Linked DNA regions of Callithrix jacchus. The protein of the gene in region 6 binds, or shares a complex with, the protein of the main gene of each other region. Links are inferred from orthologs where the notes say so. Each region holds a gene or a part of one and is shown on either strand. Other genes may lie near its edges. The genes, in order: ACTL6B, ARID2, DPF1, DPF3, PHF10, SMARCD1 and PBRM1.

Region 1 (3,908 bases), on a different chromosome or scaffold from region 6:
GTCTGAGACCTGGAGCACAGAGGCCTGGAAGTCCTGGATCACCTCCTAAAATTCCAGTGGGGGTGGTGAGGGCCTCGCTTCCTCCTGAGCGACACCTCCCCCACCCACTCCTCCTCACATGCAGGGCCTCTGCCCGCCCCCCATTCATGGCAGGGGAGGGTGGTTTCAGGGGGCCCTTTCCAGAGGCTCACGTTACACATGTAGTTATGCCAGGACTTGGAGACCTGGGGTAGCTTCTCCTTCTTCTTCCAGTTTGGGGGGGCGCCCTCCCGGACAGGCTCCTGTGGAGGCACAGCATAGGAACACCCTTTCCCAGCCCACCCTGGACACCCTCCCCTACCTTCCTGGCACTGTTCCTGGCTCTGTAGCTAACTGGAACCAGAGGCTGTGCTGTGCTGCCCGCGAGAGGGGTTTCTCACCCTTCCCTGATGGAGAGGAGAGAACGGGGTATGCCTCTCTCCCTGTGTGCCCTTCACATGGTGGGTGCAGCTGATCTGAAGACCACGGGGAATACAGCAGAGACAGAACCTCAAGAGAATGGCCTCCTAGGGGGCCACGCTCCGTGTGAGGGCCCAGGACAGAGCTGAGCACGCAGTGTCACTTCATACTCACAGCACCCTGGCTACTGCCTACTGCCATTCCACTTTACAGAAGACGAAACTGAGGCCCGGAGAGCTTTAATATCATGCTGTTGCTCACACGCTCTTTTTTTTTCAAATGTGGTCTCACTCTGTCACCCAGGCTGGAGTGCAGTGGCACAATCTCGGCTCACTGCAACCTCTGCCTCCTGGGTTCAGGCGATTCTCCAGTCTCAGCCTCCCAAGTAGCTGGGACTACAGGCATGCACCACCATGCTTGGCTAGTTTTTGTGTTTTTAGTAGAGACATGATTTCACCATGTTGCCCAGGCTGATCTCAAAGTGAGCTCAAAGTGATCTGCCTGCTTCAGCCTCCTAAAGTGCTGGGATTACAGGCACGAGCCACCTGCCTACTACTGGTCGGTCCCACAGCTCTCGGATGGCAGAGGCAGAACTTGAACCTGGGTCTATATTGGACGGCAGAACCATCACACTGGCCCTTACACATCCCACTGTCTGCCAGCTGGTTCCATGACCTCAGTGTATCCCTCAGCCTGGCTGGATTTTGGATGCCTTGATTATAAAAGGAGAAACTGGGGCCGGGCACAGTGGCTCATGCCTGTAATACCAGGACTTTGGGAGGCCAAGGTGGGCAGATCACAAGGTCAGGAATTCAAGACCAGCCTGGCCAATATGGTGAAACCCCATCCCTACTAAAAATATAAAAATTAGCCAGGCACCTGGTGGCATGCACCTGTAATCACAGCTACTCAGGAGGCTGAGGCAGAAGAATCACTTGAACCTGGGAGGTGGAAGTTGCAGTGAACCAAGATCACACCACTGCACTCCAGCTTGGGTGACAGAGTGAGACTCTGTCTCAAAAAAAAAGAGGAGGAACTGAAGCCGGGATCTACTGGGGAGTCTGCTGCTCTCTGCTCTGATATCTCATGTGTCAGTGGGTTGAAGGCCATGGGGCGAGTGGCCAGGGCTCTAGTGGCAGCTCCATATCCCCAGAGACCCCACCTTGGCTGCGATCATGTAAGGTGGGATGATGTCGATGGCCATCTCCTGGAACAGCTCCCGGCACTGCATGGAGATGAAGTCCCCTGCCAGAGGGGACTTGACGATGCCTGGAAAGGGAGGCACTGTCAGGACCTGGTCCTCCTGGGGTGTCCCCGCCCCCTGCTGAGGCCCCACCTTGCTGCAGGACGTAGCCATCGTGTACTGGAATGGCCGTGGTGTGGGTGGCCCCGCTATCCAGCACGAGGCCCGTGGAGCGCCCATTTGCAAAGCTGGCATTGGATGGGTAAGTCAAAGAGACAACAGCGGCAAGTGAGGGGCCTGGGACTCCCTCTGCTCTGGCCACTCTCTGCCCTGCCATCTCCAGTCTGTAAATCTCTCCTCCTGGTGAGGACCCGTGTCCTGAAGAAAGGCTCTAAGACCCCAGTTACTTCTTTACTAATACACATTTTTTGAAACGGAGTCTCGTGCTGTCACCCAGGCTGAAGTGCAATCACGTGATCTCAGCTCCCTGCAACCTCCACCTCTGGGTTCAAGGGATCCTCCTGCCTCAGCCTCCCAAGTACTTGGGACTACAGGCACGTACCACCATGCCAGGCTAATTTTTGTATTTTTAGTAGAGTTGGGGTTTTGCCATGTTGGCCAGACTAGTCTCGAACTCCTGACTTCAAGTGATCTGCCCACCTTGGCCTCCCAAAGTGTTGGGATTACAGGTGTGAGCCACTGTGCTTGGCCAGCCACAGTGCCCAGCCCCTGTATTTTTGGTTGTGTCTTACAGACTCTGTGAAATTAGGGGTCGCTATCACTGCATTGCACAGCACAGGGTTCAGTGTAAGGCAGATCCTTTAAAAAGCCAGTGTTTAAAGGGGTTCTTGGGAAGGGACTGCCACAGCGTTCTACATATCTCCCTCCTCTGTCCAGCTCCAGCCCCTGGCCCAGCTCACTGTCTGCTCACCCTGATCCTGGGAATGGAAAGGGGCAGCTGATCTGGCCACCCCAGGGTCAGAGGTGCTCAGCCCACTGGGCCTTCTACATTAGTGGGTCAGAGGGAGGCGTCTGCCCATTCGGATACTGATCTTCAGAGAACCAGGCCCGGGCCTCCCAGCTGAGCTCAGCTGTGCTCACCACAGGCCCCACCCGGGGCCCTCCACCCAGTCAGAGCAGCTCAGCCCAGAGGATACGCGGTGAGCACGGCCGTCTTGCATAAGAAGAAAGCAGGGATGTTGTACTGCTCAAACATCAGCTCTGTCAGCTTCTCCCGCTTGGCCCGTGTGTTCCACTGTGGAGAAAGTGCAGGAGGGGAGGATTCGGGGAGAGGCACAGACCCACACACATGCAACACAAACACACATACACTCACGGTTGCACACACATGCAACTTAAGCACTCACACATACACTCACGGTCACACACACATGTATTCAAACACTCGCACACATACACACATGCTCAAACACACACATATGCTCGTACAGATACACACATAAATACACGCACTCATACATTCACACTATGCATATATTCAGTCACACACACATGCATTCAAACACACTTTGACACACAAATACACCCGCATACATACACACACAAACTCACACTTGCACATACACATATATTCACACTCATAATCACACACACATGCATTCAAAACACTTGCGCAGGCCAAGCACCATTGCTCGTGCCTGTAATCCCAGCACATTGCGAAGCCGAAGTGGGAGGATTGCTTGAGCCTAGGAGTTTGAAACTAGCCCAGGCAGCATAGTGAGATGCTATCTCATTAAAAAAGAATTTTTTTTAAGTAAAGAGCTTGTGGGAATTAAAACTACATGAACAGAACTGAAAAACTCAGTAGAAGGATTGGAACATAAAGTGGAGGGAATATCTTGGAAATGATATTTCCAAGTGTGAGACTCTATCTCAAAGGAAAAAAAATGTGAATACAGGTTTGTTTGGTTTTTTTTCCAGTTCTAGGAAAACAAAAAGTTGCACAAGAAAGGAAAAGTAATAATCGTGTGTCTCCTGTGTCTGGCCTGATTGGTGTACATAGTAATAAGAGTGTAAATATTGGGCTGGGCACAGTGACTCATGCCTGTACTTCCAGCAATTTGTAAATTGAGGTAGAAGGATTGCTTAAGCACAGGAGTTTGAAGCCAGCCTGGGCAATATAACGAGATCCCATCTTTACAAACTATTCTCTTAAAATTATCTCTAATTTAAAAAGAGTCTAAATACTGAATACTGATTTCTTTTATTTATTTTTATTTTATTTTATTTTGAGATGGAGTTTTGCTCTTGTTACCCAGGCTGGAGT
Region 2 (4,673 bases), about 40 Mb from region 6:
TGTCACCATGAATATAAAACTCTCCGTTTCTCATCCCACTACTAACTCAACAGTTCTGGAGGTTGATTTTGTTTTCTGATTCAGCGCTTTATTTTAAAATGTGCTCTGACACAAATGCCATCACACGCAATAGATGACAACGAACCATATTTAATATTTTCTAGACTTCCTGTGTAACTCAATAACTACACAATAACTACTCCACAAAGTTCTGTGAACTCCAGCTTCAAGCCTGAAGTCAATCTAAGATAGCCAATAGAAAGTACACCTGTGCAATTATTGCATTTCCTGTTTCAGAATGTTGAATGTAACACATGATAACTGAATGCATCTGAAACAGTAATAAATGCAAAACTCAAATTATGCAGAAGCCACATTACAAAAGGCCTCTATTATCACTATAAAAAGCAATAAATACAAAAAATATCATTTTAGTTTTAAATAATACCAACTAACTTAGAATCCTCTAAAGTAAACATTAAAAATAATGCACAGCCTCATGATAAATTATATGAAAGGATTCCTAGAAGAAAAACTAGAAGCAAAAAAATAACGCTAAATCACAAAATATATCATCTAAACTGTATCGCATACCAACAGAATAAGAACTTTGTCAAATAAGCAGTCAAAAAAAAGAAAGAGGGAGAATGAAAGAAAATCCAAAGTATAGTATCCCACTTCATAGCATCCCCATTTTCCTAGAGATATAATAATCATTTTGAACGTTTTTAAGTCACTGGAAATTCAACAAAAAGTAATTCTCAAAACAATCCTGGTCACCTAAGGCACCAACATGTTATGCCATGCATTCATATTCTACTGAAAAACCTATTCAATGTCACTGTTCCAAACAAGAAGTTTCATTTAAAAAATAAAATCTGAAAGTCAGAATTTTTTAAACCAAAGAAGTTTCCAAAACAAAGAAAAAAAAATTTTCCCAAAGATTACAGTTTCATTAACTATCTTAACTCTTTTACTAAGCATCACCTTTCTTCCATTCAGTGGATATCAAGCGATCAATAACAATGTCACAAAAGAATGTTTACCAAGATGGGGGGTGGGGTGTCACCTGTAATGATTTTGTATGAAAAACGTAAACGATCCTAAAATTGGTAAGAAAAACTTGCACCTTCCTACAATCTCACTTTATTTATATTAAATGTGTCTTAGTCTAAAATGAACAAGAGCTTAGAACTGTTTGGTGTGCAAGGTTTGCTTTTGTTTTTGCCAAAAACAAATCTCTCCATAAGTCCCTTATTTCCAAATACTATGGAAAAGTCACTACTACTCACCGCAAGTAATACTGTTTTAAAGCAAAGGCAGCGTTAGAACAACTTCTGGGAAAGTTGAACTCTTCAACAATTTCTCCCCACTGATTCTTCTCAGAGACCTGGTAAAACACAGGCACACTTGTCTGAAAGTGAACAATCTAAAAAAACCTTTACCTAACTGAAATAAATACCCATTCTACAGAGATCTGTAGATACCTAAGGCATCAATGGTTGTTTCTGATCGATCGGTAAGGTAAGAGTTACTAAGCAAGCAAGGGCGTCTTGAATCACTGTTTTCACCAGACAGCCCTGTATTTAATACCACTTGTTTTGTTTGGGGGGGATTGGTGGGTTTGTTTTGTTTTTGAAGCCGGGACAATAACCAATCGCAAGTCCCTCTGTCGCCCCCTTTTAAATCTCAACGCGGTCCGTTTACACTTAAAAAAAAAAAAAAAAAAAGTTCAAAAGGATCAATACAGTTCCGGACAGCGACGTCCGCGGGTTCTGGGGGGGCCGGGGCCGGGGCCGATTCCGATCCCTCTCCCAGATCTATCCATCTCCATAGGCCCTTCTTTGAGGCCTACAGCTTCTGCCTAGCCTTGAAGCCTAAGATGGCTATTTGGAGACAGGTCCTGGTTTCTTTTGTTAGCTGTATAAACCGAGGGCGACGGGGCCGAGGCTGTGCCCCCGGCTGCCAGGATCATTTCGCAGCCGATTATCGATGTTAAACCTGCCCGCGCTAATTTTGAGTTGCACGAAAACTGCTCTGAGTCTGTGTGTCTCTGTGTCTCAGCCTGTGCTAGAGCGGCAGCGGCGGCAGAGCTGACGAGCGAGCGAGCGAACAAGCGAGCGGGCGGTGCGGGCGCGGGGCTCCGGCTGGCGCCCCGCACGCCCGCACTCTCCGCCGCGGCGCTCAGACCCCGCCGGCCCAACTGGGCACCGGGCAGGGCGCTAGCCGGCGCCGGGCCGCCAGCCCGCGGGAGCCCCGCGCCCGCCGCGCGCACGCGAGCCACCAGGCCAAAAACAGCCCCGCCGCCGTCCGCCTCCGTGCCACCGGCTGGGAGCGAAAAGAACGCCTTTTGCCCCCGCGGGCCACCCCCCCAGCCCCAAGCGCCCACTCTGGGGTCAAAGGAGACTTTTTGGAGGAGGCCAGTGAGAGGGAAATACAAATTAAAACTTCCACTCACCTTCGCGAATCCGCCTAAAGTAGTGACTCTGGTGTAGAGACCGTGAAGATCCAGCTCCTTCCCACCCACCGCAGGGATTTTTTTAAAAGGCGACCTGCGGGAGAGAGAAAGACCCGCACTTGTCAGCCGGGACCCCGCGCCCGGCCCGGGCGGGAGAGCCCCGTTCGCCCCGGCTCGCCCCGGCGTTGCCCCCCCGGTTCTGCTCTCACCCTCTGCTGTGGTGGAACTGCCGCAGCTCGTCCAGGAAAGCGAGTCCCTTTCTCCGCTCGTCCGGAGGCGCCTTCCCCGTCGAGTTTGCCATTATTTTTTCAAAGGAGGTTTTTTAAAAACCCAGATCGGTGTTTTAAAAGCGCCCCCCGCTCCCAGCGCTTCCTACCAGAGCCCGGAGCCCATTCCTCGGCCGGCGGCGGCGGGGCTCAGTCACGGGCCGGCGGTGGCGGCGGCGGCGGCGGCGGCGGCGGCGGCGGCGGCGGCGCAGGGAGGGAGGGCGGGAGGGGGAGGAGGAGGAGGAGGAGGGGAAGGAGGGAGCAGGAGGCCAGGGGGAGAGGAGGGAACGAGGGAGGGGAATTTCTAAAAAAGTTTAAAGAAATCGGAGCGAAACTAGAGGGGCAGGCGACTGCCGGATCCGCGCGAAGCCGCGGGGCGAGCGCGGCCCCCACCCCTTCCTTCCCTCCCTCCCTCCCCGCGGCCCGGCTCTCGCCCGCCTCTCAGCGCCGCCGGCTGAGGTGGCTTGGCCCGGGTACGCGATTCAACATGGTGCTGCTGCCGGGGGCGCGCGAGCGGGCGAGGGGCAAGGCGAGCCAACGGTGAGGGGTCGGGGCGGCCGGAGGCCCTAGAGTTTCGGCGGCGGCGGCGACAGCGGCCGGCCTGGGGCAGGCGGGGCTGGGGGTGGGGAGGGGGAGGTCTGTGTGGTTTGTAGAAAGCGGGGTGACAGCGTGTATTTCGGCCCAGGCTCCGCGGAGCCCTCGCACACATTCACGCGCGGCCTCGGCCGCTGAGGCCGGGGCGTCCCCGGGCAGAAGCACCGGCGGCAGCTGAGCCGCTGCGCGCCGCCCGCCGCCCGCCTGCTTCCCTCCTCGTCAGCCTCGGTCTCTGCCGCCGCCAGCGCCGCCGCCACGGCCGGGCAGCTAGTGCCGCACAGCGACCCCCAAAGGCCGGCCGCGGCACTGCGCCTGGCTCCACACCGCCCCGGCAGCTCCTCGCGGGGAACAATAGACTCGGCTCGCCGAGCTTAGGGTTCGTCTGCAATGTGCCGCACATTTCACACGCACACAAAGCCGGCGGAAAGGGGGGCGGCGCGGGGGAACGGCCACTACCGGTTGTTCCAGGGTTAGGGGTGGAGGCGATGTTCGCGTCCCTGGCCCGGCTGTCGGAAGGGCCGCCTCGGAGTCCCCGCCCGCCCAACAAAAGTGGTGTGGCGCTCTGGAGGGAAAGGAGGCTTACCGGGGCAGCTCACGCTACGCAACATTCACAAATCGGAATAAAGTCAATTTGTTACCTTCTCTTTTTGTAAAGTCTAAAGAAATTGGTTTTTATGAGCCTTATGCTAGTATTTTGGGGCCTGGTTAGCACATTTTCTATGAATTATCCACACGCTATCTTTAGCAAACTATACGTTAAATATAATGTGAACTGTCTGTCCTAGTTCTGTGGAAAAAGAGTAATGCTTATAATTCATCTTGCCTCTGGTTGGCTTCACATATCAAACTGGATTATTCTATTACCAAAGTTATGCAAACTAAACTGGTTAGCAAGCAATCTCCAACTTCGACAATAATTAACGTTTACATTTTTATAGTAAGGTCTCCTAAAGATTACTGCGTTTAAAATAAATATCGAATAAAATGTTTTTCCTTGCTTTCAAATGTCTTAAATGTAATCCTCGTTTAAAATATTTGTGAAGGTTAAAAAAAACCTTTGGCTTAAATGGGAAAGTCAAAACATCTCAACAAATACTATCACCTAAATTTGCATTTACGGGGGGTGTTGGAGTCGGCTCTTACGCTGCAAATGTTAATTAAGATTAGAGTAAGTGAAGCCAATTATTATTTCCATCTTAGTGACGGCCACTAAGAACAAAGTCACTGCCTAACCCAAGGTCATAGGGTAGGAAGGGTCTGGATAGATTATTATTTCAGGTAGTCATTACAATGGGAACATTGCTTTGGAGGTGCAATATTATGTAATATAGTGCAGCGTGCTTCCGGTGCTCACT
Region 3 (4,463 bases), on a different chromosome or scaffold from region 6:
CACACTTCTAGCCTCAGACACGCAGACTCACCCCTGCCCAACCCCAGACTCTCATGTCGATTTAAGAGAAGCCTGAGTGTAGACACTGAGTGTAGCCCTCCTCTACCAGCAGAATTTCCAGTTTCCTTTCTCTCCCTCCCTTTCTTTCCTCTTTCTCTCTCTCTCTCTCACTCTCTCTCTCTCTTTTTTTTTTTTTTTTGGACAGAGTCTTACTTGATGGCCCAGGCTAGAGGGCTGTGGCACTAACAGCTCACTGAGGCATCCACCTCCTGGGCTCAAGTGGTCCTCCCGTCTCAAACCCCCAAGTAGCTGGGACTACAGGCAGGTGCCACCACACCCGGCTAATTTTTGTATTTTTGTAAAAACAGGCGTGAGCCACCGTCCCTGGCCCACCAGCAGCGTTTCTACCCATAGACCCAGGCTGACACTTGGAGCGGGCTCTCCTTTCTTTCCTTTCTGCCTAATCACCTGCACACACCCCTCCCACACTCCTGCACACTTCCTCCGAGTCCTCTCCCTGGCCCAAACAATCCTCCTGCTCCCATCCCCCAGTGCCCTGTGTGGAGCTGACCCACAGTAGAAATCAATTTCATAAATCAATATTGATACTACTCCTACTAATCACTACATTTGGTCAGGGTCAGAGCTCTGTGCTAAGCGCTTTACAAAGACGGCCTTATTTAAGCCCCGAGACAGCCGTATGGGGTGGTAAGGGCTGTTAGAAGACCCCATACTCCAGGTGCGTGGCTCACGCCTGTAATCCCAAAACTTTAGTAAGCTGAGGCGACAGATCATGAGGTCAAGAGATCAAGACCGTCCTGACCAACATGGTGAAACCCCGTCTCTACTAAATATACAAAAATTAGCTGGCGCCTGTAGTCCCAGCTACTGGGAAGGCTGAGGTAGGAGAATCGCTTGAATCCAGGAGGTGGAGGATGCGGTGAGCCAAGATCACACCACTGCACTCCAGTCTGGGCAACAAGAGTGAAACTCAGTCTCAAAAAAACAAACAAAAAAAAAGCCCCATACACAGATGGCAAAACTGAGGCTCGCGGCAGGGGACGTTCATGGCTCAAGCTGGTTTTAGAACTCAGGCAGTGGAACTTCCCAGGGCGGCACCCTCCAGCTCCTTCTCCCCAAGGGATGTGATTCACATTCTTTCAGGAGTCAGGGAGTTCCCCACCTTCACCCCAGCAGATACGTTTTGGAAGGGGAGGGCACAGGGGGCAGGGCCCTCTCAGTCCAGGCTTTCTCCCCAGGTCCCTGCTCTCCAATGCAGCACACCTCCTGGGGGGGGGGGGGGAGTGTCTGGGCCAGGGTCAGAGTGCGGGGTAGATCCACCAACCTGCACAGGAGCTCTCGCTCCCGGCACCCTGCTCACAACCATTGTGCAGTGTCCCTCACATGAGAGACAACTGTGTGTGCCACTCAGGGTGAGAGGGCAGCGGAGGGGTGTCAGCATCATGCACCACCTCTCACGGACCCGAGTCCCACACACTCGCTCCCGGCACCCTGCTAACGGCGGAGCCACACGTGTAGGCGCGTGCCTCTAAGTCCCTGCCCCCCTTCCTCTCCCAACTCCCACCCTCCACCTCCCACCCCCATTCCCGCCAGAAACCAGAAGCAACTGGCGGCCTCTGGTCCAGCCGGCAGGCGCAGCCCTTCTTGTGGGTGGGGTGGGGGGTGCGCTCCCTCTCTCCCTGTCCCCACTCGCCCCGCCCCCAGCCCTCGATGTTCAAGGTCAAGGCAGCCAGCGAGCGGGGTTGGGGGAAGGGTGGGGAGGTCGCCCCGGCCCCTTTGTGCGGCGCCGCCGCGGGCGCTCGCCCTCCGCCTCCTCCACCAGGCCCAGGAGGAGGGGGAGGGGAGCGCTGCGCTCGCCTGCGGGGAGGGAGGGCGGGAGCAGCCAAGCGCCTGTCACTGGGAGACCGCTGTCACCGCCTAGGAACTAGGGGTGGGGGTGGGGAGCTCTGGGACCCAGGAGTCCGGGATCCCGAAGAGGAAGCAAGCCCGAGATGGAGAGGGGGAAGGGGAGGGGTGGAGAGCGCGAGGGATGGCAGGGAGAGGGGAGGGTCAGGAGGGTCTAGGCTCGGACCCAGGCGTCCCGGTCCCCAGCCACCGGGCCCGGGAGGAATGCGAACGCTCGGAGGGCCGCGGCCAGGAAGAAAGGGAGGGAATCCCCGGAGACCGAGGGCGCTCCCGGCAGGCACCCCCTTCCCGGGCCGGTCCCGGAGGGGACCAGAGATGCTCCGGTTTGATGTGTATGGGCGGGGAGAGGAAGGGATGCCGCGGTCCATGCTGGCCGTGGGTTCGGGGTTCTAGTTCCCGGAGATCCCAGAAGGAAAAAAGGGAGGCAGCGGGGATGGAACCGTGGACCCCCGACGTCTCAGCTCCCACCCTGCGGCCGCGAGGTCCGGGGTCCCCAGAGAAAGAAGGGGAAAGAGAGAAAGGCGCTTTGATGAGGGGAGAGCGGGTGATGGAAACCCTGGGGACCGAGGTCCGGACTCAGGTGTTCGAGCTTCCAGCCCCGGCCGGGGCAGGCCCGGCACCTCCGGAGATCCTGAGGGAGAGATGGAGGAGAGGGAAACCCCTACCCCCACTCTGGGTGGGGAAACGGCCTCCGCCACCCCCAGCCCGCGCCACATTCCTTCACTGACAGCGACAAAGAAGAGGCGCCCCCGCGACCCTGAAGAGGCTCCCGCCTCCAACCCCAGGGGGCGACAGGGGGTGGCCGACCCCCGGGGCAACGGTTTGCGCTGGGGGCCCCCACTCAACTACGGGTCCGCGCGCTGCGTCCCCCTCCTCAGCCACAGGGCGGGCGGGGGAAGGGCTCCTGGTGGGGGGGTCTGGACAGGGGGCGGGGACGGCGGGGACACTCACGACTTGAGCGGGTTCTGAATGGCGGTAGCCATGGCCCGCTCGGCTGGGCCGCCTCCGGCCCGGGGCGCCGCTGCCGCCGCGCGCGGGCCCAGCCCGGCCTGCGCCGCCCGCTCTGCCGCCCAGCGCGCTACGATTTCATTCATTCTTGGGGCTGCGGCGCGAGCGGAGCGGGGCGGGCCGGGGGCGGGGCTCAGCCAATCCCCGCGCCTCCCAGCGCACGACGGGACGTGGAGTCTAGGGGCGCTCGGCGGCGCCCGAGGGCGCCCCTGCCCAGACTACACGTCCCAGGGGGCGTCAGGAGGACCGCGCTCCCATTGGCTGCTGGGGATACAGGGAGGGGCGGGGCTGCCCCCAGAGCATCTTTCCTCTCTCCCTGGGAGTGCTCCGTCCCCAGCTCGGGATCTCCACCCTCGAGGCACCGCGAGCGCGGGAGCAGGTGGTCCCTAGCTTCTGGATGTCCCCAGGGTATGTGGATGACCCTAGGGTTTTTATCGTGTATTTTTGTCTGGGCCTATTTGGGTTTCTCTTCTATATCAGCGAGCCTGTGAACAAGCACAGGGGTTAATCACGCCTTTGTTCGTTTACTGAGTGGCTGCTATGTTCCAGAAACTCTTCTAGGCACTAAGGATACAGCAATGACCAAAACAAAGTTGCTGCTCTCAAGGAGCTGACGTTCTAGTGGAGAAATACAGATAATAAGAAAATAAAGAGATAAAATCATTTCAGACAGTGAGAGATGCTATGAAAAGAAAATTGGGCCGGGCATGGTGGCCCATGCCTGTAATCCCATCACTTTGGGAGGCCGAGGCAGGTGGATCATCTGAACTCTGGAGCTCAAGACCAGTCTGGGCAACATGGCGAAACCTCATCTCTACCAAAAATACCAAAAATTAGGCGGGTGTGGTGGTGCATGCCTGTAGTCCCAGATACTCAGGAGGCTGAGGTGGGAGGGTCACTTGAGCCTGGGAGGCAGAGGTTGCAGTGAGCCAAGATTGTGCCACCGCACTTCAGTCTGGATGACAGAGTGAGACCTTGTCTCAAAAAAGAAGGGAGAGGGAGAGAGAGAGGAAAAAAAAACAAGAGAAGAGAAGAGGCAGGGCACAGTGGCTCACACCTGTAATCTCAGCACTTTGGGAGGCTAAGGCAGGAGGATTGCTTGAGCCCCAGAGCACGAGACCAGCCTGGGCAACATAATGAGACCCCATCTCTACAAAAAGTTTAAAAATTATCTAGGTGTGGTGATGCATGTCTGCAGTCTCAGCTACTCAGGAGACTGAGGCAAAAAGGTCATTTGAGCCTGAAAGTTGGAGGCAGTAGTGAGCTGTGATCACACCACTGTACTCCACCTAGACAACAGAGAGAGACTGTTTCTAAAAATAAAAAAGAAAGAAAGAAAAGAAAAAGAAAGAAGAAAAGAAAATAGATTCAGCAAAACACAGATTTTAGAAAGAAAAAAGAAGCAAGTAAAAAAAAGCAGATTGATTTGAAGGAGTAAGGAAGCGGTTTCTGGCCTGGCACGATGGCTCACACCTGTAATCCCAGCACTTTGGGAGGCCGAGGCGGGCAGATCACCTGAAGTCAGGAGG
Region 4 (3,908 bases), on a different chromosome or scaffold from region 6:
GCAAATACTGACTGGCTATGGCGGGGCCTTGGCACCACTTCCGCCACATTTCCTCCATGTCTCTGGGCCTCTCCCTCCCTCTCCACCCCCATCTAGTAACTTAACACAGTGGATGGAGACCGGGCTGGCTGTGGATGCCACTGATGCATTCTAGAAGGCAACTCTCTGTCTCCAAGACAACTCCAAGGAACAAGGAGGGGTTTCAAGTCTCTGAGTCTAGAAGTTTCCAGCGAGGCTTGCCATAAACGATAACTTCTCCACAGCCCTTTGTTCCGCTGGTGAGTTTCAGGATGAAGAGCCTAAGCTGGGGGGAGGGGGCGGAGGCTGTGCGAAGACTTCTTGGAACACAACAGATAAAAAACACCACACTACACACAAGTGATGGGTGAATCGTCACGAAATGGCTTCCCTTCAACTGGGAAGAAAGGAGAGGGCCTCAGTGCTGGGGTGACAGTGAGAGGGTTCCACGGGTCTGGGTCTGGGGTGTCCTTCCAGAGTGCAGCTTCCTTCCGGTGGAGATGAGGAGGTGCTGGCCGCAGTCCCGCATGTATAGGGGGAGGCTGGGAGACGCCGCACCCTCTTGGTTCCATGTGTCTGTGCCCCTCTGAGACTATTTCTTTTCCTTACAGTCAGTCTGTCTGGACATGTGGGAGGAGGGCGCCTTCTGATTTGAACTGGGCTCTGCTTTAGCCTCTCCAGCAGCAAGTCACATTCTGTGACCTGGGGCCCTAGGCCTGGCAGCCAAAGGCTGAGGCTTTCTCTTTGAGCAGTTCCCAGCATAAGTGGCAGCTCCAGCTTCCTGCAAGAAATGAGATGGCTTTAGTAGCAGCCCCTCTCCTGACTCTGGGGCCCCACCCCAGTGGTCCTAACTTCTTGTAAACCCTGTTTTCTTTGGACTTTCGTCATGCAGAAACCTAGTTTCAGGCCTGAAAACATGGCAGCGTCTGTGGCTCAGCAGAAAGCAGGTGCTTGGAGGAGATGGGCTCAGCTCTGATCAGGACACTCACTCCCTGGTCATGCTCCAACTAGTGTCACCGGGCCTGCACCAGGTCCCCCAGAAGCTCACTCCCCATCCTCTCCACTGAATGTCCGGGAAAAACCTCCTTGGCCCTCAAGTTGAAATTTCAGCTGCTGGGACTGTGCCTCAGTTTCCTCATCTGTAAAATGGCAGTTGTCATACCTACCTTGTAGGGTTGTGATGATTAAATGAGACAAGACAAGGACATGTAAAGCCTTTAGTACAAGGCCTGTGCCATGGTGAGGGCTCAGTAAGTGCTACGAGTACTATTGTTGCTGGTATTACTGTTGGCCTCATCGTCATTACCTTCTGGGGGCTCAGCCACTGGGGGATTTAAACAGTACATGTGATAGCCACGGTCACAGTCATCGCAGAAGAGTAGCTGGTCCTGGTGGAACACAGAGCAAGCACAGAGGAGCGATTCCATTATTTGAGGCCAATGTCCGGCCCCCACTTACTGATCAGCCTTATTTCCACATCAGCCTTATTTCCACATCAGCCTTACTGGATGCCCCTTTCCAGGCCCCACTTGGAGTCCTCACTGTCCCCTGAACACGCCTGTGCTTTTCCTACACCTGGGGTTTCCCCCTCTGCTTTCCAACCTATATAAATCCTACCCCCATTTTAGGTTTCTGCTCAACTCATACCTCTTCCAAGAAGCCTTCCTTGACTACCACCTCACATCCAAATTTAAAGGGATCACTTATTCTTCTGAATTTCCAAAGCCAATAGCTCTGCTTCCAAAGGGCAGAAAATGTCTCTATCCTCCACGACTATATATTTGAAAATCTTAATTGAATTCTTCTGGACTCCACTCTGGCCATCTGTGAAATGGTCAACGGCTGTACTGGGATAAACCTCAGAACCTCTTCAGTGTTTTATTAGAATGTAGAAACATGCAAGTAGTGCCATCCCTTGGCTTCCAGAAGCTTTCAACTGTCTGGAGGCTGGAGCCCAGGTGAGAGCAGAAACCCCCAGGGTTGTGGGTTAACTTCAAAGGACACAGGCCATATCTTTGCACCTGTGGCTACATCTGCCTGGAGGGTCTCCAGGCCCTGGCCTCTTCTCTGCATGTCCATCCCCTGCCTGCTCTTCAAGTAAGTCTTCTTCAAGCACTTCTCTTCCGTGAAGACCTTGCTAATCTACCTCAACTGGAAATTCTCTCTTTGCTCTTGCAGCCCCATGGTACTTTCCCTTTCTGTGACATTTAATTGCATTTTGCTTTATGTTACATGCCTGGCACGTGGTAGACATCTATACACATTTGTTTTCTTGGCCTCTCACTGTGGCTCACGCCTGTAATCCCAGCACTTAGGGAGGTGGGTCGATTACTTGAGATCAGGAGTTCGAGACCAGCCTGGCCAACATGGTGAAACCCCGTCTCTACTAATATTACAATTGGCCTGGCGTGGTGAAGCACACCTGTAATTCCAGCTACTCAGGAGGCTGAGGCAGGAGAATCTCTTGAACCTGGGAGACAGAGGTTTCAGTGAACCTAGATCACAACACTGCACTCCAGCCTGGGCAACAGAGTGAGACTCTGTCTCAAAAAAAAAAGACATCTACATGTTTGTTTTCTTCAATAGTTCATTTGGAGCATGCCTCTTTTTTCCACCCTTTATTCCCTTTATGGACGATAAGGTCCTCGGGGCAAAACCTTGTTTTCCTCATCACTGCCTCCACTGCAGTGACTTCCTTGCATACAGGAGCTGCTCAGAAACTGTGGTCTGGCCCCACCCTCTGGCTTCAGCCCTGTTGTATTTGGTGATTACTGAACCTGTTTGGATGGCTTATGAGGCTTTTGTAAAATAAAGTTTTGTATCAAATCTCACCTTGGCTCCCACCAGTGCAGAAATCCTGGATAAAATGAGATATAGCAGTTGGAATCCCCAGGGAGCAAGCAATGAGGGCTTTTTTGTCATGCTAAAGCCTGTCAGGGGGGCAACAGGAGAGCTTTTGAAGAGTTATCACAGGGGAGTGATATCATCAGATTGCAGTTCAGCAAGATCTTACTAGCTACTATGTAAGAGTAGATACCCAGCAGGGGAGAGGTTCATTCAAGAGGCCGGGACAACAGTTAGGAAGCTGCTATTGCTATCCAGGTGCATGATGATGGTGGCCTGAATTATGACTGTGGCATGGGAGAAAGAAATGGGTCTTGCTCCCATTTAAATATCATTGATTAGATGGGGAGAGTGACAGGGAAGAAGCCAAGGATGCCCTCTGAGTCGTGGCTTGGTCAGCAAGCTAGATGATGCAGCCACCCATTGGGACATGGGAGGAAAAGCAGACTCATGGGAGGGAGAGGGCAACCTCAGTTATAGACATATCCTACACATAGGGATGACCTGGAGGCCGTTCTCCAATGGAGAGAAGTCTGGGCATGAGATATGGGTTTGGGGGTCATTGTAATTAGATGGCAAATGAAGGTCCTCAGAGAGGAAGCCCAGGGTATGAGAGCAAATGTCTTTGAACTTGTCTTCAGAGAGGAGTGTCCACGAACCCCTTGAAATAATATACACGTTTGTACATAGGTAGAAATATATGTTTTTCTACAAAAAAAAGTAAATCCGTAGTTTTCATTGAATTCTCTGAAAGATCAGAGACCCAAAAGAGTTTCCTGAGACGAAGGCCAAGAATGGGCACTTGGGGTACACCAACTTTACAGGACAGGCAGAGAAAAATACTGAGAAGGAACAGTCAGAAAGGTAGGATGAAGACAAGCACACTGTGGTTTATGCCAAAAAAGTTACGTCATTATTGCAGAGCCAGCATAAGCTATAGGACAATTTGATTTAAGGATAATACAAGGAGAAACAAGTTAGGATGGGGACAGAAAACAGACAGGACTTGTCAGAAACAGTGTTATTAATGCCTTAAAAACAGTAAT
Region 5 (3,908 bases), on a different chromosome or scaffold from region 6:
TGGTTGTATGGACACTCGGAGTATGGTTTTTACTGAATATGCACTGCTTTCACACCATCGTGAAGCTGAACGATCATAAGTCAGGAACTATATATGTGTTCAAGCTTCATTCTCCTTTGCATTTTAACAATAATCAAAAATGAATTAAACAATGTAGATTTAAATAGTTCAGTTTATTTTATTAACTTTGTAAAATATTTTAGGAAAGAAGATACTTAATGCAATATCATCTTGTAAATGTTCAGCTTGAAAAATGCACATTACAAGCTATTCTTACCTAGAGTGCACTGAGTTTCAGTAATGACATTTAGCTCTCTCAGGTAGAGTTTCTCCTTGTGAGACAAATCTCGTCGCTCTAAATCTCCAAAAAAAAAAATCAAAAACAGCAAAACATTATGCATTTGTAAAAGTTTTAAAAGCTTAAAAAACTTGATTTTTAAAAGTATTCATATTACATACTCCAAATGTTAAAGGGACTACAGAAAAATACTATAAACTCAAGAAATAAAATTCAAGAAATAAAACTCAGTAAGATACAAAAGTTAGAATAAAATCGAAAATAGAATAATCCAAAGCAATAAGGTAACATAAATAACTAGACTAGTTAATAAGGAATAGCCTTTCTCAAATTCAGATATGGTTCATATAGCTAATTCTATTCCTTAGATCAAGGGACAATGGTAAAAATCCAAAACTTGTCTATAAAATGATTTTTTTCTAAAATTTTCCCCAGGAAATTCACCTTTCCCATTTTGCTTTTAAATCAGTTTATGAGACATAGAATATATCAATAATGAAGAGAGATGCTGAATGATAATAAATTTAAAACAGCCAAGCATGGTGGCTCACACCTGTAATCCTAGCAATTCAGGAGGCTGAGGCAGGAGGATAGCTTGAAGCCACGAGTTTGAGATCACACTGGGCAACATAGCAAGACTTCATCTCTAACAAAATAAAAATTTTAAAAATTTGCCAGGCATGGTGGTGCACACCTGTAGTCCCAGATTCTTGGACGGCTGAGGCATGGGGACAGCTAGCCCAGGAGTACAAGGCTGCAGTGGGATATGATTGCACCATTGCATTCCAATCTGGGCGACAGAATGAGACCCTTAGTCTTTAAAAAAAAAAAAAGAAAGAAAGAAAAAATAAAAACAAAAGCACAAGAATATAAAATATATTATAACCTATAGAAAAATTCAGAAGCTGACAGTGTATCATAAAGAATTACTATTAATTATAAATTAGCTTTAATTATATAAACTAGTACCTGGATATTTCCTTTTAAAGGAGGTCACACCCAAATATTCACTGACTTGTTCTTGAAGCATATAGTATTCTCCTGTTTCATCAGGTGGCCATTTGTACTCTATCAAATTTTCTGCTGGATAGTAACTAAAGCTAAGTACAGAAATATATATTATGCATTAAATTTGGCTTTCATTAACTTTTAATCACTTTTATTGAGGATATTTTGAAAACTATTTTAAGTATTTAAATTATTTGTGTGCTATGACTTGACTTCCTGTATATCAAAGAAAATTACAAAACAGCTACAAGGAAGAGAAATAATTATCTGGTCTACCAAGTCAAAAAGGTACAATGAAGATAACATTCTTTTATATATCGGGAAGAACCAAGAATCTCAATTGCTAAGAACGAAGGCATTTTTAGTTTAAAGGACCTATGAGGGCAAAGCAAGGTGATGGTATCAGCTCTGAATTCTTTCTCTTAGGTTAAAAATGCATAGCCAGTATTTCATCCACCCAAGGAACAATCAACTACTTCTGTCTCTTGTCTACTGTTCAGTGAGTCATAAATAGCTAAGAAATCAGAACTCTTAAAAACCTGTATCTCAATGCATCATGCCATAAACCATAATTATTTGTTCTTAGATACTCCACAAACCCAGAAGCGAAGGATAGACCTAGTTTAAAGGTGCCAAGATGTTGCAGTCGATTTCTATCCTGAATAACAGAGTACAGATTTCAAGATCTGGGCCAATTCAACCTCTAAATTAGACACGGGAAAGTGACAATATGTTATACATCTATCCGTTTAAAAAATAACCTTTGAAAAGAACAGTGTTCTCAAAAATGGTGCTGGGAAACTGGGTATCCACATGCAAAAGTATAAAATTGGACCTTTACCTCATATCACAACTCAAAATGGATCAACAACCTAAATATGAGAGCTAACTAGAAAACTCTTGGAAGAAAACATAGAAATCTTCACAAACTTGGATTTGGCAATGGATTCTTACATGACACCAAAAGCACAAGCAACAAAAGAAAAAACAGATGAAAAATTTGGGCTTCATCAAAATTAAAAATTTTGTACAGGGACACTATCAAGAGAGTGAAAGACAACCCATAAAGAAAATATGTGTAAATCATATTTTTGATGAAGTATTCATATATAAAAAACACTGAACAACAACAACAACAAAAAACCCAAATGAAAAATGTACAAGGAACTTGAATAGACATGTCTCCAAAGAAGAAATACAATGGTCAAGAAGCAGACGAAAAGATGTTCAACATACTAGGCATTATGGAAATGCAAATCAAAATCACAATAAAATATCCCTCCACACCTTTTAGAATAGCTATTATTTTAAAAAATGAAAAACAAATTGGTGAGAAACATGAAGAAACTGGAAACTTTGTGTATTGCTGGTAGGAATGTAAACTGATACAACACCTATGGAAAACAGTTTGGCAGTTTCTCAAAAAGTTAAACATAGGATTACCATGTAATCCAGCCACTCCACTCCTACATACACATCCCCAAAAAAACTGAAAACACAAACTCTGACCAATGCTCACTGTATGTAGCATTATTCACCTTAGCCAGAAGATGGAAACCCAAATGCCATCAACATCCAAATGGATAAACAAAGTGCAGTATATACATAAAATGGAATATGATTCAGTCTTAAAAACAGAACAAAATTCTGACATATGCTACAAGGATGAACTCTGAAGATATTCAAAGTTCTAAGAGAAATAAGTCAGCCACAAAAAGGACAAATATTTTATGGTTCCACTTATAAGAAGTAACTAAGTAGTCATATTTATGGAAATAGAAAGTAGAATGATGGTCGCAAGGGGCTGGGTAGAGGGAAAAAGGGAAGTTATTGCTTAATGCTTATAAAGTACAGATAAGGTAGTGAAAAAATTTTGGAAATGGATGGTGGTAATGGCTGCACAAGAACGCAAACATAACTGATGCCAATGAATTGCACACTTAAAAACTGTTAAAACGATTAATTTTATGTATTATGCGTTTTACTATCAAAAAATTGTTTTTTAATTACATTCAGTACCAAGACCAATTTTGGTGGCCCATAATAAAACAGTAAGAAAATATGCTACAATTTTTAATAATTGTCTTTGCCAGAGCTGGGGGAAAGGGAAGAGGATGTTACCGCAAAGAGAAACATCACAAAAAATATTAATAACCAGTAAAATGACAGTACCCGAGATCTTGACTTGAGGTTTCACAACTCCTAGAACTATCTCCTGAGCCCATTCGCCTCCTTTTGGATGGCTGGGTCCCATCATTTGAATTCTCTTCATTGTCATCCTACACATTTAAAAGATTCAAAAATAATAATTAGAGAAAGAATAAAAGAACAATTAAGTCTCAATAACTGAAAGACTAAGGACAAGTCATACAAGTATTAACTTCATATTACAATTAAAAGGGACCAAAAGTTTGGCATGAGCAAGACCTGGAATACAATTTAAAACTGATCTTCAATCAAAATAAGAACATTTTCAATTAACCTGTAAATGTAAATCTGCTTTTGCTTTCTCACCAACTGAGGTTAAAATGCTTTCTGCTCTTCGTAAACATATAAAACTACTGCATCACTCTAAGATTAAAGCAAACTCTCCTACCCAAGC
Region 6 (4,237 bases):
TATTTGGACAGAATGACACCACCAGCAGATGGACCAGACCTATATACAGAAGGAGGCTCTGACACTGAGCCCTGGTTCTCCTGCAAAAGTGCATTCCAATTAGCTTGCCTGTGAGCAGCTAAAAATAGAGCCAGAGAATGTAAGGGAATGACAGAAAGGTGAGCTTCCCCAAGGAGCTTCTGGGGTGGGAAGTTTGGGGGCTATCACCTGTCAGCTGATGCTCCCCAGGAAGCAACAAAGAGCCTGTCAGAGAAATCTATCCCACTTAAACTGCAGGGTGTCTCCAATGAAAGCTGGGAAGATGGAGATACCACAAGGACTCAGAGAGGAAACATGGCCTCAAATTGAGTGCAAACTCACTTGATTAAAAATAAAAAACAAAAAAAACCTAAATAATCTACAAAGATGGCTAAATCCAACAGCCAGCAGCACCAAGAGGAATGTAAACAACAAGTCAGATCCCAGGACAATAAGGTTCTCCAAATGATACCAGTGAGGGCCAAAGGTGTGGGGGCAAAACACAAAGGACTATTGTCTTTTGTGCAGGGAACAGAGCATCCCTCTGCCTACTGCTCCCAAAAGGAGCTGTGAGCACCAGTTAGGCTTCCTGCTGACAACACTGTTCATTCCCAGCAGCTCCCACCCTAGATGCCAACCGTGATGGACCTTGAACTCACATCCTCCAGGAGCCGTCCTTCTACCCGAAGCTCCCAGGAAGCCACCGTCCCTTCCCCATCCTCGGCATCTGACTTAGCCGGATTGAAAGTGTTAGAAATGAAAATTCGCAGCTTCCGTTTTTGCTGAGGAAGGCAGAAACAGGATTGATCGTGGGGCTTCAGTGGTCTGATGTTGAAGACAAGGGTCTCCCCAAACCCCAAAATTACTCCTAACAGACTGCCTTACTATCTACCCAGTCCCTTGGATGGATGGATAAAGATTCCATTTAGAAGAGGAGTACTGGCCATCAGCCTAAGCACAACTGTATTAAGTGGGATGCCAGGTGGACAAAGTCATGCTAGGTGCCAGGTTCCCAAGGTAGCAGAGCAGTTATAGCAAAAACATGGACAAGGGTATATTTCTAGTGCAAGAGACATCAAGAGCCCCTCCCCCTTTGCCATTCTGTTCTTATCCTCCTAATGTAATTCTCAGTTTGTAGGCGGAAGGGAGAGATGCAATTTAAATGCCAAGGAGAGTTGTGCTGTGCCTTTGATTTCTCATGCTAAGTCTGCTGGAGGTTCCTGGGTCCTCTCCTTTGGCTCTCTGCCTAGTGCCTTCCGGTGTTACCTTGATAGGACGTTTCAAGGCCTCTTGGATATCTAGCCGTTTCCTCATGATAGTCTGGTCCAGTTTCCTTTCAAAAGCCAAGAGATCCATGTAGGCCTGGGATTCTGGTACCAGTTCACGAATCTTAGGAACAGAAAAATTAATGAGATCTAGGATGATCATCTCTATACTCAAACTCACCACACTTTCCAGAAGACCTATAGCCTGGACTCACCCTTTGAGGTAGAATTTTGTCAGCCATCTTCTTTTTCTTTGCACTGTTGGGAATATATACCATTATCAGGTTGAGACAGAACTAGTCAGAATGTGAAAATAAGCTGTCAGCATGTCCATTTATAGTAATGCGAAGGGACTGCAAAGCTTTTCTCAAATCAAAGAACCACCACCACCACCACCAAGCATTCTCGAGAATCAGTCCTGTAGGGCCATCTGCTGACAAAGCACCACCGCTTCTTGGTTCAGGTACTCCCACCACCCGTGTCCTCCCAGGCCTCCTCCCTCCCTCCCTCTGCCCTAGGATCATCTTACTTGTGGTTTCGATTTTGGACCGCCTGCTGCTGGACCTGCTGGATCTGCTGAGGGGCAGGTCTCTTGCGGGACTGGTCCATCCCTGACTGGGCCAGGCCAGGTCGGACTGAAGGGTTCCCCCCATAGCCAGGAGGTCCCATGGAAGGTCCCTGAGGTGTCATTCGGCTGCCTGGCAGCATACCTGGTCTCTACAGAGGGGAAAGGACCCAGAGAAGTCACTGTTTTACCTGCTAAACCCCACCAAGAAAAAAAGAAGGGGATGCCTGAATTATTTGAATGAAGTAAGGTTTAGGGATGGAATGGAGGACAATGAGAGGAGAACCCTTTGCTCCAGTAGTGACTCCATAGAAAAACAGGATCCAAAAGCTAAGAGAGAGTCCGATTATATTGAAATTCTCCTCAGTCTATTTTGGATGGGGCACATCGGACATCTCGAATTCCACATTTACTCTGCTAGCTACTATCTCTTTAGAAGCTGACCTCAATTTGCCAGCTACATCTGTGTTCCTCTGATCACTGGATGGAGCTGCTCAAGCCCCTTTGCACTCCGGCCCTCGTAAAGGTATCCCGGACCCACTCCACCCACCCTGGTTCTCCACCGACTCCCCAGGGAAACAATGCCCCTAGGAGCAGGTGGGGACGCTAACTGCCTCCTTCAACCCCCACTCAGAGCCCGAACCCCTCCCAAGGGAGTCCCTCCTACTTCTCCCCCGACCCCTGTCACTCCCAGGTACCGCTCGGCCCCGCCCCCGGCCCGCGCGCCCCTCCTCCTGCCCCACTCACCGGATAGGCCGCTCCAGGCATCGGGGAGCGGTACAGCCCTTGACCCGGAGCCGGGCCCATTCGCACTGGAGGCCCCGGAGTTCCGCCCGGGCCCAAGGCAGCAGCCGCGCCCGCCCCTCCTGAGGCTCCGGCGCCGCCGCTGGGAGCCACAGACTGGAAACCCGCCCGGGCCGCCATCTTCCCGGAGCCGCCGATGCAGCTGCACAAAGAACCGGAACCGGAACTCCCCCCGCCCCCCGCGCGCCCCCCGAGCTCCCGCCTGTTCCCCCGGCCGGCCGGCCGGCACGGGAGGCTCAGGGCAGCGAGACTGTGGGCTAGAGGGGGCGACTAGCGGAAAAGGCGTGCTGGCCACGCCCTCCCGCCTTCACGGTCCGGGAGGGAAAACCATAGAGAAGAGCTCTGGGATAGAAAAGCCCCGTGAGCGGGCGCCCCCAAGCCGACGGGAGGAAGACAAGGACATGGAAAGGGGGACCACAGCCTCAGCCCGTCTCAACCCTGCCCTGACTCTAGCCCTCTGATGAAGAGGGGCTTGGAGTAATAGCTATTTTGACGCATGGCATTAACTTTCCAAAACGCTTTGATTGCTTTCGTTTCATTTTCTTACTGCTATAACTGTCAGGGGCTGAGGAGGGAAACGCACAGTTTATTCCATTTTACAAATGGGAAAGCTGAATTCACAGAAGGTGAATGACTTGGCAAAGGTCAACCAGCAAGTTAGCGGTAAAGCCTAAGCCAAGATTCCAGATCTCCTTGCTCATAGCCGGGGACTCATTCCACAGATAAACTGCCTCAATAACTACCTCATGTGGGAACTTCAACCTAACTTTGTCTCTGGCCTAACCTGCTTCCAGATTATTTTATTATTTTTAGATGATGTCTCTGTTGCCCGAGCTGGAGTGCAGTAGTGCGATCTCAGCTCACTGCAGCCTCCGCCTCACGGGCTCAAGTGATCCTCCCACCTCAGCCTCCGGAGTAGCTAGCTGGGACCACCATGCCAGGCTGTTTTGTATTTTGGTAGAGATGGGGTTTCTCCATGTTGTCCAGGTTGGTCTCGAACTCCTATGCTCAAATGATCCACTTGCCTCAGCCTCTCCAGATCCTGGGATTACAGGTGTGAGTTATTGTGCTTGGTCTCAGATTGTTTTTTTGAATATCAAAAAATAGTTTCCCTATGTTTTGCAGGCTGGTCTCGAACTCCTGACCTCAAGTGATCTCCCACCTCATCCTCCCAAAGGGCAGGGATTACAGGTATGAACCAGTGTGCCAGCCTGCTTCCAGATTTTATAATAAATTCCAGTTTATCTTGAATTTTGACCCTGCTCTCTCGCTAAAGCATCCTTTGTGGTGCTGGGGATTGTTTTGGACCTTTCTTGCCTTTGACTCCTCCCTCTTTCCCTGCCCAGTGATTCAAACCTATCCTGGGTATGACGGTCAGCCTGTCCCATTCCAGAAGGACCACGCTCTCCCTACTCAAACTTTCTCCTTACTCATCCCCTAATTGGCCCCAAACCAAGCTCAGCTCTAGGCACTTAGTGAGAATACCTAAATACTTTTCAAATAAGAGAACAACACTGAAGAGGAGATGGTTGAAACCCAGTTTATTAGACCAGAGGCATGCGTCACCCGGAGCCCTGCCTGCTGT
Region 7 (3,908 bases), on a different chromosome or scaffold from region 6:
GTGAGCACCTGCATACCTTTTCCAAGTTAAAATTGTCTTCTGCTCGACTGTCCTCTGAGTTGTCTGTATTCTTCTCATCATCACCTTTATCTGCATTTGCAAATACAGAGGCCACACGAACCACAGGCAGAGGCACATCCCGAGGGACAAACCTAACTGAGCTGATGGGCATGGTCCACAGTTTAATTTTCTTAAAAGATTTGGTTTTGGCAGAATACCGTGATTCACAGACAAAAACATCTTCATCTCGGAAGTTTTCTGGGCATAATTTAAAGTATTCCTGGGGGGTAGGGGAGACATAAGAATAAAACTAGTTAGGTGGATTTTCTGAAAACCAATCAGAGAAAAAAAAAGAAAAAAGCAAATAACCAACCACACAAACAAAAGCTAAACTGATCAGACTTTCTGGCAGTTAACAAAAAAAAAATAACAGATGACTAGAGATTTAGAAGTATTTCCTTGGCTACAGAATGGACTTATTAGATACAAATTCTTTAAATTATAAAAACAAATAATTCCATTTAGCTTACAATTGCTTTTTGAAAACGTATGAACATCTCATATAGCTATAATGTTCCTTAAAGTTTTTAAGAGGGATCATGTGTTTGTATCAGACATATACACAAAAAGCACACATTATTAGCTACAAACCAAACTGAAAATTTGTCATGATTATCTTTCAAAAAACATCATACTTAAAAATTAGCCTGGCAATATTAAAAACTTAACCTAATTGCATTATAGCCAAATAGTGTAAGCAGCAAGTCATCTTTCATAACCATGTTCAGGTTAATTTCTTCCCAAATCTTTACATATAGCTATACACAGCTTAAAAAATAGTTTAAAACAGAATTCCTAATTTTGTAAATATCAGTATTTTCTGTTTTAAAATTTTATTCCTAGGGAATGAGTGATACTTTTGGGTTTAATGAGTTTCTTACCTTGACAAACATGACCACACACTTGCCTAGAATTTTACTAACGGGAACTTTGTTGTAATAGTCACTCTTGAAAACTTCTTTTTCCAGAAATTTTCGTGTAGCCAGGTGGAATGTTTCATTTGGTCGGTAAAACCAACAGCCATACAACCATTTTTCACCTCAAAAATGGGGAGTGAAGGAGTGGGAAGAGAAAGAGAATCATTGTTAACAGAAATCATTTTTTTTTTTTTTTAAAGAGACAGGGTCTCACTATGTTGCCCAAGCTGAACTTGAATTCCTGGGCCAAAGTGGTCCTCCAACCTCAGCCTCCTGAGTAGCTGGGACTACAAGTATATATCACTGTGCCAGCTCAGAAATCACATATTCTTTGCAAAATTAGGAAATACACCATCAATCCATTCTGCCATGATCTGAATCTAGCACTGTGCTTCTTATGCTACAGTTTCTTATCCATAGAAGAAATAATACTCTAAAATAATAAAGTGTAATGAGACCTAAAAAATGCATGCTACTTTCCTCCTCTCTCTTATATATATTATGCATCCTTAACCTCTTGGGCTCAGGTGATCTTCCTGCCTCAGCCTCTCAAGTTGCTGGGACCACAAGCAAATGCCACCATGCCCTGCTAGTTTTCTTAATTTTTGTAGAGAAGGGGTCTTGCCATATTGCCTAGGTTCTTCTTCATAGTAAAAGTCACATAAAATATATAATGAGGAGGCCAAGTGATGAGACCTGCTCCACTCAGCTCTGGTTAGTACATACCTAGAGTTGTGCACTTTAGTAAGGATATAGATATACTACTGAAGGACATATTTAGCTCTCTGGTGAAGGAATACGAAACTATTTCATGTAATAGGCAGCTCAAAGAACTGGACTGCCTGGATCACATTTCCACCAGCTTTTGGCTTCATTAACTTCTATTTATACTCCAGTTTTCAATTTACAGACAACTGTTCTGGAAAGCCTTTTTGAAAACAAATTCTAAGCCAAGGCACATCATCCTATAATAATTTCTTTTTTATTCATAATCTTCCTTACTGGAGTAGTTTTGCAGGGGAAAAAACATGAGCTTTTTGTTCTTCTGAATCTCTGTCATTCTACCTAAAGTTTGGCTCAAAATATGTTTTCAGTAAGTATCAATTGAATGAATGAATCTCAACCAGACTTTAAGAAGCTGTATTTCTTTGACTCAATAGTGACACTTGCCCAATAGGTCCTATGTTTTTCATATGATGGGTGCTTACTTACATTTATTGATATATTGAACAATTACTATGGAAAGGCATAAAATGTCTGAGTTAAAATTTTCTTCCCTGAGGAGCAAGGAGGAGTCAAATACTCATATCTTACTAAATTGTCCTTTGATTTAAAACAACCTTACCAGCTGAATCCTCCCAGAGTCTTTCAATACAGACTATATGTGGCTGTAGGTTGGCCTCTGCAGGTTCCACATAGACATAATCTCCAACATGGTACATGCTGTTCTTAAAGCTACAGTCCTGGCTGTATGTGCGATGTAAGCCTGAGAGGCCTGCAGCACCAGAGGAATCTTCACTCTTTTCAGCTTCTTAGGTAAATAAATAAGTAAATAAGTAAGTAAGTAAGTAAGTAAGTAAATAAATAAATAAATAAATAAATAAATGAAAAAGGTACTCCATAAAGGGATGCTGGAGTCAGATGTAGGATTCAAACAACACATGCTAATAATACATTTAATTCCATTTGCAACATTCAAGGCAGCAATCAGCAATAGTATGATCTTCACATTCCAGATAGCCCCTACCCAAAATTGTATTTTTGAATTACAGCCACCATTAATTCAACTGAATATATAAGTATAAAAAGGATGCACAGAATAAAAACATCACCTTACTAATATATGATCATGTGGTCATTTTGGAAAACATTAAAGGCACAAGGAAGTATGTATGTCATTTGAAGTCAAGAAATTCTAGAGATAATCTCGATATACTTCATCTCCACTTTAATGCTTCTGAATGTGTTTCATTTCACTAAGTTATTATATGAATGACACATTTAATGTAGTCTTAGAATTGAAGAAATATAGAATACACATATTCTACAATATACTATAAACTACATGTATTTAATATATCATGAACACTTGCCCTGAGAGAAAATGCTTTTCAAAGTATCTTTTATTTTTGCTAAGTAAAACTTATTAATAGTTCCAGTACAAGCTATCATTTGCAAATATCATAGGGTTTTTATTGAGGATAAAGCTTTGCCCAAATCTTTGATTACTTCCTTAGATTAACTTCCCATAAATGGAAGAGCTAAGAATAAGCATTTTAAATGTTATTTATTTATTCTTCCTGAAACAACATTAAATGCCTTTTTTCTTTTTGTAGATGAAGTCTAACTCTGTCACCCAGCCTGGAGTGCAGTGGTGCCATCTCAGCTCATTGCAACCTCCCATGTTCAAGGGATTCTCCTGGCTCAGCCTCCCAAGTATAACCGCGACTACAGGCCCACGCCACTAGGCCTAGCTCATTTTTTATATTTAGAAGAGACAGGGACATGGCCAGGCTGGTCTTGAACTCCTGATCTCAAGTGATCTGCCCGCCTCAGCCTCCTAAAGCACTGGGATTACAGGAGTGAGCCACTGGGCCTGGCTATCTAAATTTTAAAATAGTTTTTCTAGTATTGTAAAGAATGTTACTGGTAATTTGATAGGATTAGCACTGAACCTGTAAATTGCTTTGGGCAGGATGGCCATTTTAAGGATATTGATTCTTTATATCCAAGAACATGGAATGTTTTTTCATTTGTTTTTGTCATTTCTGATTTCTTTGAGCAGTGAGTAATTCTCGTTGTAGGGATCTTTTGCCTCCTTGGTTAGCTGTATTTCTAGGTATTTTATTCTTTTTGTGGCAATTGTGAATGAGATTGCGTTCCTGATTTGGCTCTTGGCTTGGCTGCTGTTGGTGTATAAGAATGCTAGTG

The links.
Region 1: SMARCD1 (region 6) and ACTL6B share a complex: the UniProt entries of both Homo sapiens proteins name them as parts of the BAF complex. The link is inferred for Callithrix jacchus from reciprocal best matches to the Homo sapiens genes SMARCD1 and ACTL6B.
Region 2: SMARCD1 (region 6) and ARID2 share a complex: the UniProt entries of both Homo sapiens proteins name them as parts of the SWI/SNF-B (PBAF) chromatin remodeling complex. The link is inferred for Callithrix jacchus from reciprocal best matches to the Homo sapiens genes SMARCD1 and ARID2.
Region 3: SMARCD1 (region 6) and DPF1 share a complex: the UniProt entries of both Homo sapiens proteins name them as parts of the neuron-specific chromatin remodeling complex. The link is inferred for Callithrix jacchus from reciprocal best matches to the Homo sapiens genes SMARCD1 and DPF1.
Region 4: SMARCD1 (region 6) and DPF3 share a complex: the UniProt entries of both Homo sapiens proteins name them as parts of the BAF complex. The link is inferred for Callithrix jacchus from reciprocal best matches to the Homo sapiens genes SMARCD1 and DPF3.
Region 5: SMARCD1 (region 6) and PHF10 share a complex: the UniProt entries of both Homo sapiens proteins name them as parts of the neural progenitors-specific chromatin remodeling complex. The link is inferred for Callithrix jacchus from reciprocal best matches to the Homo sapiens genes SMARCD1 and PHF10.
Region 7: SMARCD1 (region 6) and PBRM1 share a complex: the UniProt entries of both Homo sapiens proteins name them as parts of the SWI/SNF-B (PBAF) chromatin remodeling complex. The link is inferred for Callithrix jacchus from reciprocal best matches to the Homo sapiens genes SMARCD1 and PBRM1.

The regions. Positions count from the first base shown.
Region 1 is NC_133503.1:13,075,779-13,079,686, reverse strand, and holds part of ACTL6B (actin-like protein 6B), read right to left. Parts: intron 2,877-3,908; coding exon 2,779-2,876; intron 1,870-2,778; coding exon 1,775-1,869; intron 1,708-1,774; coding exon 1,601-1,707; intron 282-1,600; coding exon 192-281; intron 46-191; coding exon 1-45. UniProt on the Homo sapiens protein: Involved in transcriptional activation and repression of select genes by chromatin remodeling (alteration of DNA-nucleosome topology).
Region 2 is NC_133510.1:29,645,138-29,649,810, forward strand, and holds the start of ARID2 (AT-rich interactive domain-containing protein 2), read right to left. Parts: upstream 2,888-4,673; 5' UTR 2,760-2,887; coding exon 2,668-2,759; intron 2,553-2,667; coding exon 2,459-2,552; intron 2,291-2,458; exon of another isoform or gene 1,488-2,290; intron 1,391-1,487; coding exon 1,293-1,390; intron 1-1,292. UniProt on the Homo sapiens protein: Involved in transcriptional activation and repression of select genes by chromatin remodeling (alteration of DNA-nucleosome topology). Required for the stability of the SWI/SNF chromatin remodeling complex SWI/SNF-B (PBAF).
Region 3 is NC_133523.1:33,814,888-33,819,350, forward strand, and holds the start of DPF1 (zinc finger protein neuro-d4), read right to left. Parts: upstream 3,015-4,463; 5' UTR 2,910-3,014; coding exon 2,878-2,909; intron 1-2,877. UniProt on the Homo sapiens protein: May have an important role in developing neurons by participating in regulation of cell survival, possibly as a neurospecific transcription factor. Belongs to the neuron-specific chromatin remodeling complex (nBAF complex).
Region 4 is NC_133509.1:107,528,952-107,532,859, forward strand, and holds part of DPF3 (zinc finger protein DPF3), read right to left. Parts: intron 1,407-3,908; coding exon 1,325-1,406; intron 800-1,324; coding exon 729-799; 3' UTR 1-728. UniProt on the Homo sapiens protein: Belongs to the neuron-specific chromatin remodeling complex (nBAF complex).
Region 5 is NC_133505.1:176,374,903-176,378,810, forward strand, and holds part of PHF10 (PHD finger protein 10), read right to left. Parts: intron 3,586-3,908; coding exon 3,479-3,585; intron 1,399-3,478; coding exon 1,268-1,398; intron 1,115-1,267; coding exon of another isoform or gene 993-1,114; intron 362-992; coding exon 278-361; intron 1-277. UniProt on the Homo sapiens protein: Involved in transcription activity regulation by chromatin remodeling. Belongs to the neural progenitors-specific chromatin remodeling complex (npBAF complex) and is required for the proliferation of neural progenitors.
Region 6 is NC_133510.1:69,497,749-69,501,985, forward strand, and holds the start of SMARCD1 (SWI/SNF-related matrix-associated actin-dependent regulator of chromatin subfamily D member 1), read right to left. Parts: upstream 2,801-4,237; 5' UTR 2,773-2,800; coding exon 2,596-2,772; intron 2,350-2,595; exon of another isoform or gene 2,293-2,349; intron 2,001-2,292; coding exon 1,813-2,000; intron 1,542-1,812; coding exon 1,499-1,541; intron 1,408-1,498; coding exon 1,285-1,407; intron 801-1,284; coding exon 678-800; intron 1-677. UniProt on the Homo sapiens protein: Involved in transcriptional activation and repression of select genes by chromatin remodeling (alteration of DNA-nucleosome topology).
Region 7 is NC_133516.1:35,115,055-35,118,962, forward strand, and holds part of PBRM1 (protein polybromo-1), read right to left. Parts: intron 2,509-3,908; coding exon 2,323-2,508; intron 1,100-2,322; coding exon 942-1,099; intron 281-941; coding exon 17-280; intron 1-16. UniProt on the Homo sapiens protein: Involved in transcriptional activation and repression of select genes by chromatin remodeling (alteration of DNA-nucleosome topology). Required for the stability of the SWI/SNF chromatin remodeling complex SWI/SNF-B (PBAF).